Struthio camelus: one gene and its partners. The main gene of each other region encodes a partner of the protein of the gene in region 2 in a complex. Links are inferred from orthologs where the notes say so. Each region holds a gene or a part of one and is shown on either strand. Other genes may lie near its edges.

Evidence for each region.
Region 1: INTS4 (region 2) and INTS12 share a complex: the UniProt entries of both Homo sapiens proteins name them as parts of the integrator complex. The link is inferred for Struthio camelus from reciprocal best matches to the Homo sapiens genes INTS4 and INTS12.
Region 3: the proteins of INTS4 (region 2) and INTS7 are in contact, whole or in part, in a cryo-EM structure (PDB 8RC4), measured with the Homo sapiens proteins. The link is inferred for Struthio camelus from reciprocal best matches to the Homo sapiens genes INTS4 and INTS7. Residues at the interface, in NP_291025.3 of Homo sapiens: Glu536, Met539, Asp540, Arg571, His572, Ala574, Tyr575, Asp578, Ser579, Ser610, Phe613, Arg620, Leu624, Leu627, Gly631, Glu634, Leu635, Phe638, Arg641, Asp642, Arg645, Leu646, Glu648, Leu649, Gln650, Lys677, Leu678, Trp679, Asn680, Val681; in NP_056249.1 of Homo sapiens: Lys137, Asn138, His140, His141, Arg144, Gln145, Gly175, His205, His206, Asp207, Ala208, Ser244, Ser245, Leu246, Val247, Lys282, Thr283, Pro284, His285, Thr286, Thr321, Ile322, Lys325, His326, Gly686, Tyr689, Glu704, Gln707, Gln708, Leu711.

Annotation. Positions count from the first base shown.
Region 1 is NC_090945.1:26,092,787-26,099,939, forward strand, and holds the start of INTS12 (integrator complex subunit 12), read left to right. Parts: upstream 1-4,151; 5' UTR 4,152-4,394; intron 4,395-7,153. UniProt on the Homo sapiens protein: Component of the integrator complex, a multiprotein complex that terminates RNA polymerase II (Pol II) transcription in the promoter-proximal region of genes.
Region 2 is NC_090942.1:220,411,199-220,418,430, reverse strand, and holds the start of INTS4 (integrator complex subunit 4), read right to left. Parts: upstream 3,073-7,232; 5' UTR 2,994-3,072; coding exon 2,940-2,993; intron 2,325-2,939; coding exon 2,130-2,324; intron 1-2,129. Other genes in the region: BTB/POZ domain-containing protein KCTD14, read right to left, coding at 4,663-5,340. UniProt on the Homo sapiens protein: Component of the integrator complex, a multiprotein complex that terminates RNA polymerase II (Pol II) transcription in the promoter-proximal region of genes.
Region 3 is NC_090944.1:114,004,801-114,012,386, reverse strand, and holds the start of INTS7 (integrator complex subunit 7), read left to right. Parts: upstream 1-4,577; 5' UTR 4,578-4,833; coding exon 4,834-4,924; intron 4,925-5,289; coding exon 5,290-5,419; intron 5,420-6,286; coding exon 6,287-6,433; intron 6,434-7,586. Other genes in the region: DTL (denticleless protein homolog), read right to left, coding at 369-484, 1,574-1,639, 2,334-2,454, 2,546-2,607, 2,940-3,038, 4,069-4,194, 4,367-4,412. UniProt on the Homo sapiens protein: Component of the integrator complex, a multiprotein complex that terminates RNA polymerase II (Pol II) transcription in the promoter-proximal region of genes.

The DNA of each region.
Region 1 (7,153 bases), on a different chromosome or scaffold from region 2:
TAAGGAAGCTGCAACTACAAGCACAACTCGTAGCGACTCTCTCCTTTCTACTCCGTTTCAGGCCCAGAGGTCTCCTGAAATAGTTGAAAGTGGCTTGAGGCTTGAACAGCTAGTCCATGGAATATTATCCTCACTGGCAGAAAGAGTACTTCATTCTTATGCTATTATAATCACAATCAGACCCTGCCTCTTTTACCATTTCAAGCTACACAAAAGCCACATATGCATCATTTCACTCTGAACACATTACACACAGAAAATTATTTATTTCATTCTCGTATTCTACTATTCTGTTTCTATCTTATGAGATCATTCATCTTCACAAAGAAACACTGGGATTTTTTTTCCTATATAGTCCCAAGGATATTGCATGTATTTAACACTTATTCTCCTATCTCTTGAACTCGCAGCTTGTGAACTCACAATCATTTTATCATCTAGATCTTTTTCCTCTCACTTTCCCAGAACTGCATCAAGTATAGCTGATGATTTCCCTCCCTTTTCTTCCACACATCCAGCCCCTTAAAAAGGACCATTTTGCCTCCTGCTCTTTCTCCACCTGCACTGCATCTCATAAATTCTGCAGGTGTTACCCCACAAAGGAAGCAATTAGAAAAACAGCTAGAGCTCAACAGTTGAGGAAACCTTTTGTAAGTCACCTTTTACCTATCTCTGAATTATAAATGCAGGTGTCCCTCTCTAATACACTTTCAACTTCAGAAAGCAGTACTAAAAGTTCTCTTGCCTTTACTTTTCACAAACAGTTACCTCGAGATGGGCAGTGTAATTTCTGACCTCTAAGTTCCATAGTCTGTGCAACTGTCAAATGATAAACCTAGCTTGGTAACTTACGGGTTTTTGTTTGTAATTCATCTTTAAGTTAGGAGATTTAGATTAATCCAGGTTTCTCTTGCTCTTATTTCTCTAGACATCAAAAACCTTTTAGACACAAAAAGTTAGTTCGGTAACATTACCTCAAGCATCTATTTAGGAAATTTTCTTTTCCAGTCTCAGACAGATAGTGACCAATGCAAAGCCACCTGCTATGTTCAAAGGGTCCCTATCCTCTGTTCCTGGTAATGGTTTAAATAAAAGATTTTCCTCTACCCCATTTAATCACTTCATTTTCTAGAATTATCAAGATAAAGGCACTGTTATTTAAATATTACAACAAAGATACTTCAGAGCTCATCAAAGTTTTCATCATCCACATTAGCTAATACCAGAAACGTGGCTTTTGCCCTGGTAACAAGTTTTGCTGTGTACGGTTAAAATAAAAGAACAGCACGCGTCACCATTGTTAGAAAAGCCCAAGTTCTGAAGTTTGTCCTAATCCATACATGCAGTTCAACACTGCATAGACACCACTGATATCTATTGTCTCATTCATGAGTAGATCACAGTAATAACTCTTCACTAGCTCCCACAGGAAGCACTGAATCTTCTCCCCTTATTGCAACCATATACTAAAAATGGTTAATCGAATATGATGCTTACTAGTATTTTTTTCCTTAACTTTTGTGTCAATTTAAATTTTGTTCTTTCACTGCTTTGGAGAAAAGTTTGCAGTTTCTTAGCAAACTGGAAGAGAAGTGGATGTTGTAAGTTATGTACTTTTCAGATCAAGACCAAAAAACAGGCAGGCTTTTTCAGACTAAAAGATAGGGAGGACTAGTGGCAAAAAATGTCACTCTGCTTTCTGCGCTGAGCTTTTCAGCACTGACGCTATTGCTTTTATACTTCTGATAATTTCCAATAACCCTAAAACTTCTAAAAGCATTTTTAAACAAAATGTGCTTCTGTAATGACTGTGAATCGTTATATAAACACACTTATTTCAATAGAGCAGCAGAACATTTGATTTGGATTTATTTATACAGTTAGTTACTGTAAAAATGTTTATGCCTCATCATCATAACATCAGAATTTCAGATAGGTATACCAATAAAGTTAAAAAAAAAATGCTACCTCATCACTGGGACTTGCCTCCCAATAGCCTCGTAAGGACAAAGGTTCCTGAATTTCCGTTATGTAAGAGAAAAGGCTGAAGCACAAGGGGAGTTTTTAACTCAATGTCACACAGGGAACGTGTCCTAGAGCAATTGACATTTTCCTTAAGGGATTCCCTTGTGGATTTTGAAGTTCAGTCTATAAATATAATATAAACTACAACTAGGTTAATTTTGTTCCAAACAAGTCTTTTACAGAAAAGAAAGCAAAATAAATCTCTCTGGGAGTTCTATCTATAAATGACTTACCTGCGTTTCTTTCAATTGTCCCTTGTGCAAATGTACTCAAGCCCTTCTTGCATAATCACTTCAACCAACTGTACACGCTTGCACTACCATATGTCAACCCACTCCCATCTTTTAGTTTAGATACTAACAGCCTATCCCTAAGCACAGATCTTTATAAAGCCTGGGTTTTTACCTTCCCCCTCCTTCTTCAAATTTAGTTGTTTTTCCCCACTATTTTGGCTCTGCAGGGTACATCTTACTTCTGTGTTTAAGCACAGCCTTTCCTTTGAAAGTATGTATATGACTGCCACCCTGCTGTTAAAGGTGGTTAATTTAAGGATCCACTGGCAGCTTACTGAGAGAGAAACACCCAGACATTCACAATAAAACAAAACATAGCACTAACAAAACTTACAGGATATCAGATTGTTCACTGTCTTGATGGTAATGCCTCTTCCCACACGTTTTACAGTTTAATTAGAGAAGGAAGAGTGTGGGAAGAGATGGACTTGTATGCTATATTACTCATATTTACAGTAGCTGCTATTGATATTGTGAAATGAAGAAGTCAGCTGGACAAAAATAACAAACATCACAGTATTTGCAACATACTTTAAAGACAAGAAAAAAGTTTTTTGTCTACATTTAGTGTAACAATCATGTTGAGCTGCTTAATATCTATTAATCATGCTTATTTTTCACTAGTAATATTGTTTGTTACCATTTCTGTTTCTCTCTCTACAGGCACTAAATTCCAGCTAAATTAGTTTTACTGAGCTATCACGCTAGTGATATAGTACAGAAAAGTGTTTAAAAAAAACTGTTTCCAGGAAATATAAATGAAAAACTAAAAAAACCCACACACACAAAACACAAACATTCACTTCCTTTTAGTTCCTGAAAAGGACCTTGTTTATTTGTTGATTATTCTATAGGAAAACAAAAGGTTTTTTTAAAATAGAGACAGTAATGTTTGTGAAGTGTTTGATGTTGCAAGTCATTTAAAGACATAGTTTCCTCTAACAAATATTTAGCTTAACAGAAAACAGTATTTGTGCTTTAAGAGAGATAACTTTGCAAATCTGAATTAGATGTCTGTTCACCAGACCAATTTGCTTGTAAACTTTAGGGCTACCGTTATATCCTCAAGTGAATCCAAATAACTGTATGATTTTCAAACCAGAGAGAAATAGAGAGGCATCTGAATTTCAGACTAGTATACCAATAAAAAATATATGTATTTCAGCAAAGTAAAGTATGAAGAATACAAGACAAACCTTAGCAAGGCAGCACACTAAAGTTCAATTATTGCAGAAAATAATGCCACTGAGTAAAAATTCCTTTGCGGAACGATGACATAAAGCCTGCACTGCGACCTTCACTCAGCAGTCTGTCAGTCCAGAAAAAGCAGACCAAGTGTTCAGACACGGAGAATCACTGAAAACCAGACTCCAGCTTTTTTTGGTGGTTTGGGGGGGGGGGGCGGCAGATGGAGAAAAGCTTAAAGAAGAGTCCCCCAACTGCCAGATGAGGAAGACTACAGGTGTCTTTTCCTTCATCAGTTATTAGTGCTCTTCACCAATAAACGCCTCGACCGCCAGTTTCCAGCCAAACCTCGCTCAGGAAACAGAAAGCTAACGGCAACGAGGGCACGGGCAGGCGCCGCGCTTCGCGGTCAGCGAGCCGTGAGGGGAGGAGGCGGCAAACGCCGGGCTGCCGAAGGCGGCGCGCCGATACCCGGCGCCCGTTCTCCCTCCGTCGCCACCACCCCCGGCCTCTTCCCGCCGCCAGTAACGGTCGCGTGGAGACCGCCCCCCCTCAATCCCCAACGGCTCCGGGCCCGGCGCGCGAGGCGGGCGCCAACGGCCGCTTACCCTGTCCCGCACGTCGCCCAGCCGCTTCCGCCCTGGCCCCGCCCCTTCCTGCGCGAGCGCCCGCTCCGGTTGTCTTCCTCCCTCCCTCCCTCCCTCCTCCACGCGGGCACGACCGGAACCCGCCGCCTCGGGGCTCTCGTTGCGCGGGGGGACGCGAAAGGCGACGGACGCGGCTTGGAGGCTGAGCCGGGGGGGCGGGCGGGAGGTAGTGGTGGTGGTGGTCTCGGTGGACGCCCTCAGTCACCCGTTCGCTCGTGCCCGGCCGTGCCGTGCCGGCCCGCAGGTAAGGGAGAGGGCACCTGGTGAGGGGGCTGGGAGAGCACGAGACCCCTCTGACCGTTACTCTGCGGCTCGAGGGGCGGCTGGTGCCGGCGTGGGGGGAGGGGTGGCCCTGTCGGCGATGGCGGTTGGAAAAGAGTTTGAAGCGGTTGCGGGCAGTTGCACCCCCCCCCCTCCTCCGCAGCGGCGCGCTCGTTGCCGGGGCTCCAGGACCGGTTCAATCCTGGTGGTAGCGGGTGTGGCAGGGTGCCCCCAGCCCCGGAGCTGCCTTTCGGGCCGCTCTTCTCAGGGCAGTGAGTTTAGCAGACGCTTTCCACCTCTAGTCGTAGCACTCTGAGCTGTGTTTCTCTCTCTCTTTAGTCTCTCTTAGCTGGGTGTTCAAGTCAAGGCACTAGAGTTTAGTGTCAGCTGATTGCGTTGTTAGCGCTGTAATTAGGCAGAGGGGTTCATCTCTTTCTTTGTGGTGGGGACTTGCCCTGGGCTCAGCTCAATAGCACAGAGCACACGGAGCCACCGCTGGGGACGGGAAGGAACAGACCAAGCAAATAGAGCTCATGTATGCCCTATTTTACAAGACGTATGCATTTCAGCCGAAATTGTAAGTTATTTTTTTGGACTGCAGCATATGGAGGCATAGAGAGCTTTTATTTTCTTTAAAAAAGAGTTTTTAAATAAGAAGCCTTTATTCATTCTTAAAGGAAATAAGAAGGGAAACTTGCAGCAAATATGCTGCAGAGTGTGGGGTTGTGGCTTTGGTGTAACTGACCCAAAAATTCAGTTTTGACTAAAATTTGCAGCTTCCACCTGGAAATCACCAGGAAAATGATATCTAGGGCATTTGCACACCTAATGAGTTTCAGTAAGCAAATCATTTGAACTAGGAAGGGGTGAAAAAGATAATGAAGAGAGGTAATAATTTGCTAGTGATTTAAACTAATAAGCAGTGGCACCTATTTAAACAGTGTTTTTAGGTCCATTTTTGCAGAGCTCTGAAGCTTTGTGGTAGTAGGGGTTAGCAAATCTCGGTTGCATAGGTACGATTATCTCATTTACTTGGTTTTGACAAAACCATTTGTGTGGCAGCATAGCTTTATCAGAACAAAAACCTTTTTTAGAAGGGTAACTGATGAAACATCATGTGTGGAATTCCAATCTAACATAGAACCTGTACTTGGAACCAAAGACGTGTTAACTTGCTTTTGAACAATAAATGGGCTTAGGATAACACCACTCGAAAGGGCTGTGAGAAACTTATGTTTGAATTAATTATATGTATAAGTAGGAGTTGACGCAGGGGATCTTCTCTATCCCAAGTGAATTCTGTACGCTATTGTTCTGTCACCTCTTTTATATTTGTTTTTTAAATTAATTGTTTTGATTTTTTTAATCAAATAGAATATTTCTTTTAAGTTTCCACTGTTTTGCAGATAGCTCTGGTGGATAATCTCTCTCTGTGAACTTTAGGCTCAAAGAGTCTTACTAGACTGGGATATGCACAGGATTAAGTCTGTATCCTCTTTTATCTGTGCACTTTATTTCAGGTGGCTATCTGAAAAAAAATAGTGGATCATAAGAAAAGAATGTGAATAAAAATCAAATCTGATATTAAAGATGGCTGGAATTATACTTGAACAGCAATTAGCTGGATAAAAAAACAAATATGGTATTGTATCAGGGTTGGGAAGGTGGCAAGAGAGATGTTGACTTGCTAGACCAGTAAGCTGTGCAGAATCCAGCTCAAGAGGCTGAGGGTAGTGCAGGAAAAAATGGGATTATTTTCCTCTTAATCAATTTTTTTTTTTTTTTTACAAAAAATAAATTATCTAAAGGTAGGAAGATACATGCTTTAGATTTACTTATTAAAGGCTGAGGAACTGTCTAGATTCTCAGATTAGAAAAGAAAAACGTGAAGTCAATTACATTCAGTCTATCCAAATTCTGAAGTAACTTAAATGACTAAACCACTAACAAAATTATAATGTTACCAAAATGCCCTCTTCCACCCTGGATCTTCATTTACAGAATAGATACAGTGCTCTGGTAGCTGAGGGGGAGGAAGTGGCTCAGTCAAAGGCAGCTTCAGAGACTGCAAAGCCTGAATTGAGTATAGGCAGCTGAGGAAACAGGCTATGTGCGGTCACAGACCTATGAAACGATTCAGTTACTGACATGTGATGGGATGGCTTGCGCGACTGGAGTTCTGTGATACACGGAGACAGGCTGCCTGGGAAAGATGCGCAGGAAGAATAGTGTGTGTAGGGTTGCCTGTTGGGGGAAGGAGCAGCATGGATGCATGGAACTCTTTGGTGGAATATGGGGGACAGTCACCACGAGAACTTGTGGGTCAGGAGCAGAGGAGGAGCCAGTAAGGGTGACAACATCGTGGGAGTCTGTTATAGACCACTTGATCCAGAGAAAATGATGCATGATTTCTTCTTTAAGTAAGTTGAGGAAGTGTCCACATCACAGACCCTCCCCACTATTTGCTCGGAGGGCAGTGCAGTGGGATGCAAGCACTCCAGGAGATTTTTAGGGTGAGCTGAGAGTAACATCTTAACACCAGTATGGACCAACGGATTGGCCAGCCTGGGGATGTGGTCTCCTGAATCTGCAGTTCATGAGCAAGGAAGAACTGACTGGAAACATGATAATCAATGGCAACCTTGGCTGTAGTAACTATGAAATAGTGGAGTTCAGGCTCCTGAGGGGAGTGAGGAGGGTGAGTAGCAGAATAAAGCTGTGCTTCAAGAGAGCAGACTTTGA
Region 2 (7,232 bases):
TGTGGATTCTATACTTAGCTCTGACCAAGCAATTGAGCAACCTGGAACACAGAGTTGCAGTAATACGTAGTTACAAAAAATTACATCTTTCAACAGCGATCAAGTCTCTCCAGAGTGACAAATACTACAGCACCAGGAAAAAAATTCTTTCTAAACCTAGCTGAGAACTGTTTTCATTTTCCAGGGCCTAAATTAAGTGCTTTAACAACAGTCATTGCAGTTGGGCTACTTATGTCAGTGGACAATACAGATTTCCACAGTATAATACATCCGGTGCTTACACACATTACTCATGTTCTTTCAAATAAAAGGACAACCCTCCCCATGATACAGATGAAATCATAAACTTCAAAAAGCATGCTTATAAAGGCACTTTTAAGAGTTTTATGAATAAAGTCTTCAATTTTATCATTAGCAAGTTATGGACAGCCTGCCCCAGAAAAGGGCGTATTCTCTCTCCTTCTCATGGTTCCTGAGAAGGAAATTAGAGAAATCGATTCTATTACTCTAGGGGTCTGATTGCTGTCTCCAAGATCAAAACACCAGTAGGTGAAGTGCCTCTAACTCCTGGTCCTGGCCACACTCAGGAGTCAGGAAGAGACTTTCAGGATCATCTCAGGTCACTCTTTGAGGGCACACTGTCTCTGACAGCAATATTAGCTTATGGTACTCTGTCCCTTCCCTTTCTCCCCTTCATTACTACATGCCACCCACTCAGCCATGTTGATTCAACTGCTAGCAGGGCCATGGGAACACACGAGGTGAAAAATGAGGAAAAAAAAAAGTAATCTTATTTCTCTAATCCATTTCAGAGAACAGTTCCCAAACAGCCCTGCAGACCTGCTATAATATAAAGGAATATAATGAATAAGCAGCAGGTTGCAGAACCACCTTAAACAAAAAAACGACACTACAAACAGCACATCATCGTACAACTTCTGCTGCAGTTAGTTTTCAGTGCTAGGTTTTTGAAGACCAGTTAAAGTGTAGTTTTCTAGAGATACTAGCAAATTAGTTCTTTACAAAATGTTAACCTTAAGCAAAATAACAGCAGGTTTAGGATTGCAAGAGTTTTTAAAATCTGACTTCTCTCACAGGCTGTGCACTTGAAAATCTGACCTTATCTGTAAATTTAAGAGTCTTCCTTTTGACATAGGTTGCAACACAAAAACGCCAACAGCGTTATTTGCTCAGGAACCACAGTTCTGTTCATGGAAAGCTATGGAACTATAGCAAGTTAAGTTTCTGAAGTTGTATATTCTTAAGTGTAGATTAACCCAACAATGAAAAGTAGTTTCCAAAAAAATTTAATGATAAATACACAGAAAGCTGTAAAACAGTCTCAATCTGCAACCCAAAGCAGGTAAAGTATAGAAAAAAATAAAATGTAACTTACAGTTTAAGTGTCAATTCAAAGTAGAGTACAGTTAAAAGTAAAGGAAGAAGTTAGAAGTAGCATAAGGACATTTATGAGGAAGGTTTCCGCCTGCAATGCAGCTTTGTTCGCTGCAATAAAGTTGTGATTTATCAAGTGAAGGACCAGTGTTTTGATACTATGATGCACACGCTACTTCTCTTATTTGTTATTTTTCCGCAGTAACACACAGAATCCTATTTTTCTGTTGTTAATTTTTTTTTTGAAAAGCTGAAGAGTTTTTCAGAAGCATCATGTTAAAACTGTTTTGCCCACAGCGTAAGCACAAAGTTTCTCTGTTGTAAGAAGAAACTAAGAGCAAGGTAAAGAAACATCAGTTGGGACAGACTTAGATAAAGTTGGGCCAGATTTGGACAGTTTAGTGCTCCGGACAATTTCTTGAGCTCTCTTTTGTCCTTGCCAGCTTAACTTCAGACTGCCTAGGAGGGGCCATCTGTAGGGATAACACAGTTCACGTTCCTGTCACCTGACTCCTGAAACTATTGGCAAAGCTGCCAAGTAAAACCACCAGCAATCATCTGAGGAAAGGGCTAGTCACTCACTCTTGTCACATATGGCTTCCAAGAGCCTGAGCCAGGCCTGAATTAGCAACCCACAGGCCAGTGGCTCCTTATTCTGCAGTTAATCCCATCCTTCTAGATAACAAGGCCAGAAAGAGGAGTCTGGAAACACGCTTGGCTGTCAGCTTTGCTACCTTGTAATAATGCTCCAGCAGGATCCTGACAACCCCTTCCACACTCTCCACTTCCACAGGCTTCCTGGCAAACTGGAGCAGGTACTGCAAGGCATCTGCTGGCGAGGTGGCTTTGCACAGGTCGACGTGGAGCGCCGCGGACTTGCTGGGCTTGGTCAGCCGCAGCTTCTTGGTGGACAGGTCCTCATGCTGCTGCTGCAGGCAGAGGCACACAGGCACGGTTCGGCAACACACAGCAAATTCATACCCACTCTTTCCTGGTGGGTACACTATCCTACTACCAAGCCAGGCTGGGGCAGCTCCGGTGCCTTCAGCACCGCTGGCCTCTTCCCTCTCCATCCCAGGCATGCAGGGGAACAGCGTCCCCTCCACAACCAGGTCTTGTTCTGCCCAAATAGTCCCCGTCCCTGCAGAAACACTGTTTCTCCTCCCCGCCCCCAACCCCAGCCTGGAGCAGGTCCTGCCTCCCCCACTCTCACCCCAGAAAACTGCTGGCACCACAGGGCAAACTCTGCCTCCCCCCCCGCCCCTGGCTGGGGCAGCTCCTGCCCCCCACCCCGGCACCAAGGCGGCCTCCCCTCAACCCTGAGGGGACCACTGCCGTCTCCCCGACCCCGGGGCAGCCCGGTTCTCCCCTCCGGGCAACCCCCGACCCCCCGAGTCCGGGCAAACATCGGCCCTAGGCCTCGGGGCTCCCCCCTGGGCTAGGCCGCGGGACGCTAGCGGCCTTCCCGGCAACGCCTGTCGGAGCCACCCCTCGCAAGGCACCTCTGGGGCTCCCTCCGCGGCCGCCGAGCCCCGCTGCGGTACCTGCACCACCTTGGTGAACTCCTCGTACACCCGCTTCTTCAAGTGCGCCGCCATGCCGCCCGCCCGCCGCCGCCGCCGCCGCCCGCGCCGGCTCGGCCCTCCGCGGCCACCGTACGCGCCTCGCCCGCCTCCCCGGCCTGGAAGAGAAACCACCGCCTTGACGCGGCGAGGCAGCGTCCTCGCTGCAAAGCTGGAGGTCAACGCTCTATGGTCAGAGAGGCGGGAGGGCGGGAAAAACCTCCGCGTTGCCGTGGGAACAGCGCGGGGGTGGGGGGGGAAAGCTCGTCGTTGCCATGGGAACGGCGGCGCCGCGAGACCCCCGCCCCCACAAAGCCTTAAAGCGGGAACCGGCAGGGCGACTTCTGCCGTTGGCTGTGGGGGAACCGCTGCGAGGGCGAGCACGGCTTAAACCAAGCGTAATTAGGGAGTGATTCGAGTCCAATCGCTTAAAGATAAAACCGGGGGGAGGTGAAGGGGGTGGGGGGAAGAGGCCCGTAAATAAAGCACTTCTGCGTCATTCAAAGAGCTTTTGAGGTACGTTTATTTAACAACCCGGGGGTTAGCGCCCTTAGCTGGAAGAAATCCACGTTTTGAGAAGAAAAGGAAACACAGCCGTAATCCAGACGAGCCGTAACGGTTTTCAGGTATCCCCAGAGCGACTGGAAAACACGCTGACAGCCACCTCCAGCCCAAAAAACAAACTGGAATATTAAAAGTTTCAAAAACACGACGTAGAACCCGATCCAGCATCCGGCAAGGCGACGTCGCCGCCGAGGCCTCAGGGTTTTCCTTCAGCCGTCCTCCCTTCCAGTCAAATCACTGCGAGTTGTCCTTATTCTCGCAGAAGCTTATACTAAAAAAATAAAATAAAATAAAAACGAAAGAATAATAATAGCTGTCACAAGGGAAAGAGTGAATAGTGTGGCATGAGGGAGGAGCGTGTGTCATCGGTTTATAAACTCCTTGGATTAGTAGCAGTACTTTTACCTTGTGTTGATCCTGCACGGCAGCTGGGCTTCTCTGTTTTCACTTCAGAATAAATAATAAATAACGGCAATAAATACATTGGCTAGAGAGTAGGCTGTCTGCTGGAGGAACAAGAGGAGAGAACGGGACACCAAAATCCCTTTTTACCTAGGATCTGGTACGGGAAAGAACGCGAACCAGAGCTTTTGGCTTTTGGTTGAAGATCCAAATTTAAGTTGGCATGAATTAATTAATTAATTAATTTCACTGACGCCACTGGGAATTGCAGGAGACCTTTTTTTCCACCAGAAAAGATCATGCCTGGCAATATATGAGAAACAATGAGGAATGAAACACAGAGCCTGGTCCTCTGAACTTATCCAATAGTCAGCAACATATAAAATAGAATAAAATTCATCCTTTTCCTCCTGGCTGGACTGCCTCTGCAAGGCCTGTTACTTCTCAGTGTAGTCAGTAAAAGTGACTGAAAGGCATGAAGGGAATAAGCGTTTTGGAAAAGGTCGTACCACATTTCTAAACACATTATCTTTTAAAATGCACAGTTATCCTCTAATACCTAACAAAACAGTGGCTCGTAAGTGCTGTTTAATTTCGCAAGAAATGTCAAAGGAGATCCTTTCACTGGCTCATCCGTTTCTTCCTGTCTTTCCGGTAGTCCGTGGCTTGGTCTCCACAATCCAAGTCAATTTGTTTGAATAATTGCTTTTTTCCGTTCTCCGTCAATGGTGGCACTTTGCTACCACCAGGTGAACAGGAACTTGTAGAAGTAGTCATAGGATTTGAAGCGAAACCCTTTTTCTGCAACATGGGGCTGAAAGGATATGTTGTACCCTTTGGATTCGACGTCCATTTGAATGCAGTCCAGCAGATCAGAAATACTTGGCGTTGCCTTCCAGGGGCCAAATTTCACCACGGATTTTTTGTCCATGTCCAAGCTGTTCAAGGCATCCTGACATCTGGCAGCATCCTCCTCAGTTCTGACAACGCACACGATGACGCTGGACCGGCGGGAAGCGACCGCTTCTGCCCTCGCAATGCGGATCATCAGCTCGATGTTCTCACTGTAACTGGGCACGCGGGCCAGAAATTGCTTCCTTGCCACTAGCTCCCCAAAGATCTGAGGGGAGTCTTCTAGTTGCTTGATGAGAGGTTCAATGTCGTAGAACAACGCCTCCTTGTACACGTCCTGGATGCACTGCGTGGGCACTTGGTTACTACGCAGATACTCCAGGATATATTTGAAATAGGTCCCCGGCCTGTCAATGAAGAACCTCCCTTCTGAGTCAGTCCTCAGTTTGGGCTGGCCGGTGAACATCTCTGCCAGCTTGGAGCCGGGGTGTTTCTTTAAGGTGCTCAGCGTTGTCGTGTACATCTCCCCACCAACATTTAACTCCACTATTGGTGACAACTGCAACTATCACAAAGGGACAGAAATAACACGCATTACCTATCTCAGGCAGTCAGTATGGAAGGATCAGGGGAAAGGGAAAAATGCTAACTGCAGTTGGAAATTGGAACGGCAGCATGACCAGCTGTGTGAGTCCCCATCGCTTGGTTGACAGATGGGAACATTCAGCCGTCTGCTGCAGGCCATTACTTGCTAAAAGCAGATGCAGGATATGGATATGGCCCTCATAACCAGAGTGGCAGATGTTTGGATGTTTCTAAATGGATTAGCCTTCATCGCATCTTTAGGATGTGGAAAAGTTTCATTTTGCCATTGGGAAAGAGGGACAAGAAGTAACTTGCCCAGGGTCACTTGGGAAGTTGTCAGTAACAGACTGAAGGATTCAATGTGGATCTCCTAAGTCCAGGCAAATGGGACCAAGTGGTCCCGTAAGTGGTCCTCTGGACCACTCTCCTTTCAGAGTGGTCTGCGCTCTCACACTCCTGATGCTTCAACGCAGCGGGATAAGACAGAGTTCAAAGGTGTGCGCAACTCTATTCTTCTCACCTAAATTAATGTTTTCTCTTTAAAGTCGGAACTAAAGCTCTTTGAAACTTTAGAAATGTGCGGGATTGACTCTCACCTTTCTGGGGAATTAGCTATAAACACAGAACTAAGACACTAAAATCCAGCATGTCTGTGGTCAGGCACAGCAGCTTCTTATCAAGCTTAAAAATGTATGATAGCTTTAGACAGAAAATAAAATAATTCGTGCAACTGAAATGAGCTTAAGAAAGAACGTAAAGCCTCCAGGTTGGATTTGTTTGTGTGGGACACTGCACTTTAAAGCCACTGCTCTCAGAAATAATTTGGAGGGGCCTGAATACTCAGAAAGGCTGGACGCTGCGTCACTTTGGGATGACCTTCCTGACTGTTTGATGCAGAAAAAGTTTAACAGCCTCCGTTTGCACTCAGCCAGTTTTTATAGTGGTCAGTACAGCAAAAGGAGAGGGAAGGAATGAGGCAGTTATTTTCCCTCACACCCTCACGTCACGGCTGTAATGCGAGTCACATGCCTGCCGAGGACCACACCTGCCATTGGGAAGGCGTGAGTCAATAAATAACCCTTTTTCCAGGAGCTCACCTGCTCTTGCATTCGGTCATGCAAGGATCTGCTTCAGCGCTACTAGTCACATGCTTAAAGTGAAGCGTGTACTTAAGCGCTTAGCTGGATCCAGCCCACGGTGCCTTGCAGCTACAGACCCATGAGATGACGTGAGCTGCTCTAACAGCTCACGTCAAAAAAAGCGAGGAGCTCCTGCTGCCCTCTCCCCTTTCTATCCTTGTACCTACCCACATGCTTCTGTCGCTCCCCTTGTGCCAGCTCTGGCTCTGCTTCATTTCTGTGAGCTGAACTGGCTCACGAAGGATTTAACAAGCACCAGAGCTGGCAAAATGAGGGGACTAGGAACAGACAAGCCAGAGCAGAGGAGGGAGAGCTTCCCTTTTAAAGAGCCACAAGCTATCAGATTTAGACCCCGCTGGAATATTGTTTTGCAGTAACTCTAGGGTAAGCGGCTTCATCTCAAGAGCACTCATCTACACCAGAGCCAGAGGAGCGTCAAATGATCCTATCTGAGAGCACCTGCTGATTTCCACCTCCTAAAGAACACAGCCCAAAGCTGTTTCTATAGTAAAGCCTCCCAAATGGTAAGGAGCAGCTCAGCTTCACTCCTTAACAGAGGTCACTGAACAGGAATCTCTCCTGCTGCTGAGCCTTTTCTCCTTTTACAGACAGCAGGTCAAATGTTCCATGACATTTGGTACTCTTACCCATGGAAAACTTACTCTTCACTAATAGAATAGCCCTACTAACGTGATGTGCGGTCGGGTCTTGAGTTATGTTTTTGGTCTGGGAC
Region 3 (7,586 bases), on a different chromosome or scaffold from region 2:
AGTAAATCCAGATCTTATTCCAATAAGGCAAACATTTGTATGGTCAGATTGGAAGAAAAAAATTAGAACATCCCCTCCTCCCCAAAAAGGAATGCTGGCCATTCCTCCTCTCTGGAAAAAAAGGTATGTTTTCACATGGCATTCGCACAGCGATGGCTTTCACTTATGTAGGTTATTAGACAGTTAAACAGTGCCTAAAGTTAGCTAAAGCAGGTGACCATGAGACAAAAACATGCTTCTGCAAAGATAAATTGAAGCGTTTAGCATATTTAAGCTAGATATTCCTTGCAATTTCTTAGGAAGACTACTATGCATAACACTGTCCTCCAAACAGAGGCCAACGTTTGTTTTGTCTCCAAGATACCTACCACCAAGGGAGCAAGTCCTCTCAGGTTCTGCCTCCTCTTCTTTGTTTTTGAAGGAGTCTGCTTGTCAACCACATTGTGTGCGCCACTGATTTGATTCACCTGCCTATAAAATCCATCTGAAAGAAATCAAAGACATCTCAATTAATAGTTTCCATGCCAACATGATCTTGCCATCATTTTATTAAACAGACAGCAGTTTGGAAAACTTCCTAAAAAGTGGCTGAGATTGACCTTTAAATATCATAAACGCATTCTGAAAACAAAAATTGTTAGTTACATATGACACTGATGAGAAAAACACAATAGAAAACAGGCGCATACTCTATATAAAAAAATTGCCGCAGTCAGTGTCGCTTGGACACCGAAGCTAAAACTGGTACAGCCAAACTGCCTTTGGAAATCACTACCCTGAAGTCTTCAGCACGCATCCTGATTAGGAGCATTCAGCAGATTTCATCCAGAGCAGAACATGCAGGCAGTTTTCCAGTGTTCTTCCACTCTATTTCCTCATTTTCTATTTACCCTTTTGTCCCGTACTCCTCACTTGATCAGACTCCGATTGCTTTACAAGCCTTGTCATAGAAGACAGTTACTTTATACTTTTTTGCCCTGTACCTTCCACTTCCGTTATGCACAGCTTCCCTTTTCCCCCCACTTGCTGGGTCAAGAGTTAGAGAACCCAAGAGAGATGAAACTGTGAGACGTTCTGGCAGCACACGTCAGGAAACTGCTGGAGACAGAGCAAGAAACTGAGAAGAGATTTAAGGGCATGACCTGGGAAGGAAAAGAGAGACCTTCTCCAGGAAGCAGAAGGAGGAGCAGAAGGAGCCCTCCACCTCACCCTGCTCTCAGCAGTTATTCCCCTAATACATTGAGTTGCTTCCAAGAACTACAAGCCCTTAGGCTCTTGTGTTTTGCTCTCCTTCCTGCTCTGCCTAAAGTCTTCTCAGCTTTGCTTCATCCCTGCAGATGCTTCTGCACTGATCACTATCGCCCAGCCAATCTATCTCAGTGACCTCCTATCCAAGGATATATTTTGTGCTCTCTGCATCTCCCTACTGATACACAGTGTATTGTAAGGACAGCATGTAGATCATGCTGCAAATCTGAAACTGTTACAAAGTGGCAAAAGCTCCAGTCCAACAAGTATATTTGAATATTACTTCCCACACAAGATAGTAAGCCCTTCTGTTCAGTTCAGTTACCTTTCTTGTTGCATCTGATATCCCAAACCATGATGTTTCCATCTCTCCCTCCAGTACAGAAGACAGCTGGGGGTGGGGGGCGGAGAGAGAGAGAACTATTAGCATCCAAAGGTGTTAATTTAATTAACTGAATTCAGTACAATCCCACATATGTGCCTCTGGCTCTTCTGCCCCAACACTTGGGATGCCAGTCCCAGATATACGCAAATTGGGCCTTGATCCTGCAACACTTAACTGCTTTCCTTACTCTGCCTAGTCTTTCCTTACTGCTCCAGAAAGGACTGCCTGTGAAAAGAGTTATTTAGACACTTCTCTACGTAAATAAGGGCTGAATGATTCCAACATCATGTCTTAAACTTGTCCAAGATTAGAAACGTGCAGATACTAGCATCAGATCACCTGCTAGCATCTGACACCTAAGGCCCTAATTTTACTGTAACTCTAACTTCCTCGAAGCCAAGATAAATTGTAATAATACAATATGATGTAAATATATGCAAAATATACATATGTATTTGCAATAATATATTATATTTTCCCAAGAAAACAGCAAAGCTTAAACAGTGAACGCACCTTCTATCCCTAAAAGAAGTTCCCAAAAGTTAGTTTCGCTTCGTTGACTAGGTCACTGCTCACAATCTGCCTGAGCTATTTGTGCATTACCATCGATTTCTAAAGCCCTTTTTTACCCTCATAAGTATTGATGTGTAAGGGGAAAAAAAGGGGGAGAAACAGAGGAGCAGAAAATGTCAACGTTTACCTTTCTCAAACCTAGAAAAAGCAACTGACTTGAGGCTACACTGGTGACCTTTGCATATGCCAAGAAGCTCCCCAGCTCTCACATCCCACACCTTGGCTGTCTGGTCTCCTGAAGCAGTGACCTTAAAGAGAAAGAATAAACAGCTTTAGTCATTCTCTGCAGCAAGTTGCCAAAGCATTAAAAATAAAGTTAGATGGCAAAAGTCTTCTTACAATTCTGTGTTCCCCTGGTACCCAGGCAATGTCAAAGACAGCATTTGAGTGAGCTTGCCATTCTGACAGGAAGAAGAAAACCCAGGATTAGTTCAGTGCATTGCAACACGAAGATGTTTTGCAGAACGCAAAAGAACATCAGACACTGAAATCAAAATTTGTTACTTGTCAACAGCTTGCCTTAGGCGTGAAAAACAAACACAGAACAATTCACTTAGTAGTGCTAGTCTAAGAACATGCTCACACCGCTGTAAACAACACTCATGAAAGGATAGGAAAGGATGCAAGTACTGCCCATATTTGTGTGTAAACAACTTAGAAAAAGTTTTCTCTGATTCCAGTATATCATCTACTTGCCACATCAAATGAAGATTGTATTCTCTATAATATTTACCCTTAAAGATAAATTTGCTGCTAGATTGAGCTTCAGTGTCATACAGTCTAACGAATCCTTCTTCATTTGCAACTGCCAGTACGTGCTCCAGATTCGGGGCTGAAAGAAATTTTAATTTATTTGAGTACTAAGTAGATAATTCATGACCATCCCCCCCACCCTTGGTCAAGGGCCGCAAACATTTTTAATAGGGTATAGAGCAAATAGATTGCTGTGCCAATAAAAAATATTTATACAGTAGTTCTCATTTTCAAAACAAAGAAATATTGCCCAGCAATGTTTCTAGATATCCCATTCAAGAGTTACTATATATGGGAGAACCAATGGCTCAAAGAGCAGATTGTGAGATAACAGCCTCTTTTGGCAGCTGTGACAGTTCCTGTTTTACATCATTACTACCTGCCCTCTACAACCTCCAGTGCTTTCTACGGGTCTGAGATGGAAAAGCAGGAAGTAGCCTTGGAGAAAGGCTCATGCCAGTACTAGACTACTTTTGCAAATGAAAGAGTTGCGACCTAAAGGACAAAGACCTAAGCTTCTATGCTTACTTCATTCATCACGTATTTATCATGGGGAAACACTACAGGGATATCTATCATGGGGAAACGCTACATAGACATCTAGTGGCATACATCCTGCTCCTGATTCGCCACTCACTGTCCTTCATCCTGCTCCAGCTCTTATGTATTTTGCACAAAGCCCGATTTTTCAAATCTTTAGCCTAGTAGTGTCATAGCTGTACATTAAGAGGACAAACCTTGACACGGACAAAGCTGAAACAGAAAGCCATTACAGTAAATGCTTTGTACTTAGTCCCTTAACTGAATGCTTTCTACTAGGACAGATAGGAACTCCGTGATCCAGTTTATACCACACCTACATGCAGTTACACTGTTATCAGCTCACTTTAATGTAAAAACACTTTATCTCATGAATCCCTGAAAAAAATTACAAGGTCTTTTGGCCTAAAAGTTTGTCTGTTATAACTGACTATGTGATTTGCTTTGTCCTGGGTGTAAAACAAGAAACTGTGAAAACAAATCATGAGATTTTAAAATAAATAAGTAGACTACTTCCAGCACACGTATGCACAGTATCCACAGCCCGGACCTTCAGAAAATACCTTTACCTGCAGAAAAGGTGCAGCCGAAGGGCGGAACCGGCATTCCCACTTCTCCGTAAGACAGGTGGTCATCTTCCCGGCTGCACTGGTAGCCGTCCAAGAGGTGCTGCAGGGGATACGCCGACGACTGACCTGCAGGGAGACAAAGGGGCTGTAATGGCACCGGCCGCGCGCACCGCGGCGGGCCCCGTTGCGCCGGCGGCGCCGGGAGCGACCCCGGCGCCGGGCAGGGCCCTCCCCGGGGGGCGCCCACCGCCACGGGCCCGGGCGGCTGGGTCGAGCCGAGCCCGGCGGCGGCACTCACGGGGCGGCGCGGCCCAGGCGCGGCGGAGCAGCGAGCGGCACAGCATGGCCAACGCTCGGCGCGCGCCGACCCCCACCCCGCGGCGCCAACTCCCGCCACCCAACCGACCCGCCAAACGCGCCGCCGCCCCTCATTGGGCAGCCGGCGCCCGCTGCGCCCCGCCCGCTGCCTCTGATTGGGCGGAGTGGAGGGGCAGGGCCGCCAGGCCTCTCCCGCTCCCCGGCGACTCACGGGGAGCGAGCCGCCGGCCGGGGAGGGCCGTTGGGGCGCGCACGCGCAGTGCCGCGCCGCCGGCGCCGCGCTCCCCCGGGTGGCGCCTGCGCCTGCTCACAAGTCGTGCGGCGATTGCTTAGGCGCCTCCGGGCTGAAAGCGGCGGGAGGGTGATTGCGCATGCGCGGTGGGCAGGGGCGGCGGACGCAGCGGAAGGCCGCGCGCTCCCGGCGACCGGCTGTGAGGGGGGGTCGCTATGGCTGCCAGCGCCAAATCCTTCCTGGCCGATGCAGGCTACGGGGAGCAGGAGCTGGACGCCAACTCCGCTCTCATGGAGCTGGACAAAGGTAGGGCCGGGGGAGGCCGGGCCGGCTGCGAGGGCCGCTCTCGGGGGGCCGGCCTGGGGGCGGGGCTGGGGCTGCGCGCGGCGCGGGGGGGGGTGTTACCTGTCGCGTGGCGTCCGGGCGCGTGCGGCTGCCGTTGGCGCCGTTGGCGCCCGCGCTCTGCCCGGCGCGGCGCTGCAGGGGGCGGCCCCGAGCTGGGCCCTAGCGCCCGCCGGGCGGTGCGCCCCGTACCCCCTTTCCCCGCTTCCTCTTCCTTTCCTCCGACCCCCCTCGAGGGCGAGTCCCGGGAGCTTCCTTTTGTACCGCCCCACCGCCAGCGCGGGTGGAGGAGCTTCGGCCTCCTCAGTAGCTATTGTTGTCTCACACAGGTCTCAGGTCTGGCAAACTCGGGGAGCAGTGCGAAGCTGTCGTTCGTTTTCCCAGGCTCTTCCAGAAATATCCCTTCCCTATTCTCATTAATTCTGCTTTCCTAAAGCTAGCTGATGTTTTCAGAGTTGGGTGAGTATTATCGGTCAGTTTGTAATGCTTCAAATCTCTGGCCTATAGTAAGGTATTTTATCCTGAGGTCCTGCTACATCGGCATCTGGGCAGCTTTGGTGTTTTTCTGCTCGCTCGATAATAGCGCAGTGATGCCTAGTCTTTAGAGGACTGCGTCCGCTTTTCCTTGGAGCATGCCTGCTCCATCCTTAGTGGCTTAAGTGGCTGTGAGAGATTAAGTTCAGTGATGCACATTCCTCCCTGTAGGCACGTTCAAGATCAGAAATAATTGAACATTCAGATTGCTGCAAATTGCTTTGCTATGATGTGAATAGCGAAGACCACTGTATAGCTTTTCCAAGTGCCTGATGCCGAAATGATGCATGTGGCAGGATTACAACTGCTTTGTAATAACTTACGAAAATTATATGCGCAGAAAGTTTGCCTTTGATTTCATTTAAAAGATTCATAAGGTAAAACCAAGAGGAAGGAAAAGAAATTCACTCAAACCAGCCAAAGGTGATTAGACTTTAAGGCTTAGTTAGCTAAGCTAAGTTTTAGTTCAAGGCTTTTCTAGCAGAGCTGGGTCCCTAAGCATGTACAACACAGGTGTTCAGTGCGTTTTCATGGATGTCAACAGGCCAGTTTCCCTGGAAGAGAATTGGGCCTAAATTTGATGCTAACTGTACTATTAAAAGTAGTTTGTTAATATTTTCTTTTTAACTGTATCAGCCTACTGAAACGTACTATCTCTAAAGTTATAGACTTTGCCTCGTTTTAACTAACTCAAATATCTTTAGTAATCATTTTGCTTGCTTAAAGTGCTTTTTTGTTTTGAATTTCTGTTATAATACAGTCTGTTAAAGATAAGCGTGTATTTTCCAATAGAAACAACTTCCTGAGGCTGTGTGTGCTCAAAGTTACTCAGCAGAGTGAGAAGCACTTAGAGAAGATTCTCAATGTGGATGAGTTTGTGAAAAGAATTTTCTCAGTAATTCATAGCAATGATCCAGTTGCTCGGGCCATTACACTTCGGTACGTATTTATAACTTTCACAGAGATTTCAAGTAAGTCCGGTTCATCTAGCTAATTATCCTAGACTGGAATAACATAAATCTGTGATAACCATGAATGAAATGTAGGAGGTGTTTTGCACATTGGGCATAAAGATAAGAGCAGAGACAACCATCTTAAAGGGAGTAAAAAAAAAAAAAAAGGATTTGTGAGCAGAAGAACAGATTATTAACTACTTATGATGGTGAGAATTGTGTGGATGGCTCCAGGCAAAACTGAATTCACAAGACTGAAGTTTTATATACCCGAAAAACAGAAACGTTGTATGCATAACTGAGATTTTAGCTACATGCAACATATATTTGCGTATGATGGAATTAGATAAAATTGAAAAGCAGAGTGCTTCCTTATGTGTCAAATTAATTTTTGTTAACTTATAAACACAATTTATTTATGTGTACCTTGTTACGCCTGCATGTATTTTTCGTTGATCGCTGTCCTAGATGTTTCCTGCTTGACAGTCTCTGATCAACAACATCTAAGGAAGTGCTCATGTATTAGCCATTGCTTTGGCCTTCCTGGAATTAAATAAAAAAAAAACTTTTAAGCTATCTTTAATGACTTGTTGCCCTGGTGTCCGTCTTTGTAACACTGACCACTTGATCATCTTAATTGCCTCTTCCAACTCCCATGCAAGTGAATTCAGATGTGGAGAAAGCACTCTTCTTTCTCCCTTGCTTGTTCTTTTCTTCTGTCCATTCAGAACTGATACGGATTTCAGTATTGAAAGATGGGAGACATTAACAAGATTTTTTTTTAGCTTGTACATCCATTTCTTTCTCCTTTTGACATAATTATTTGAGATTCTGCTTTGATGTTCTAGTGTCTCAGAAATACGTGAGTCTGGTATATGTATAACTTTTCTTATAGTTTTCCTTCTGTATTCCAAGGTAAGATTACACTTGCTGACTAGTGTGAAGTGCCACCTTAACAGACTGTCAGAAGCCTCAGGAATCTGCTCAGTTTGCAAATATGCTTGAATTGTTCATCAATCCACAAGATATATCAAGTGAAAGACAGGTTAAAATAGCTGTTGGTTCAGCAGTATGAAAATCTTCAGTTGATCAGTTTTGTCATCCTTGAGTAGTATCAATAAGAAGGAACATGCCAAAAG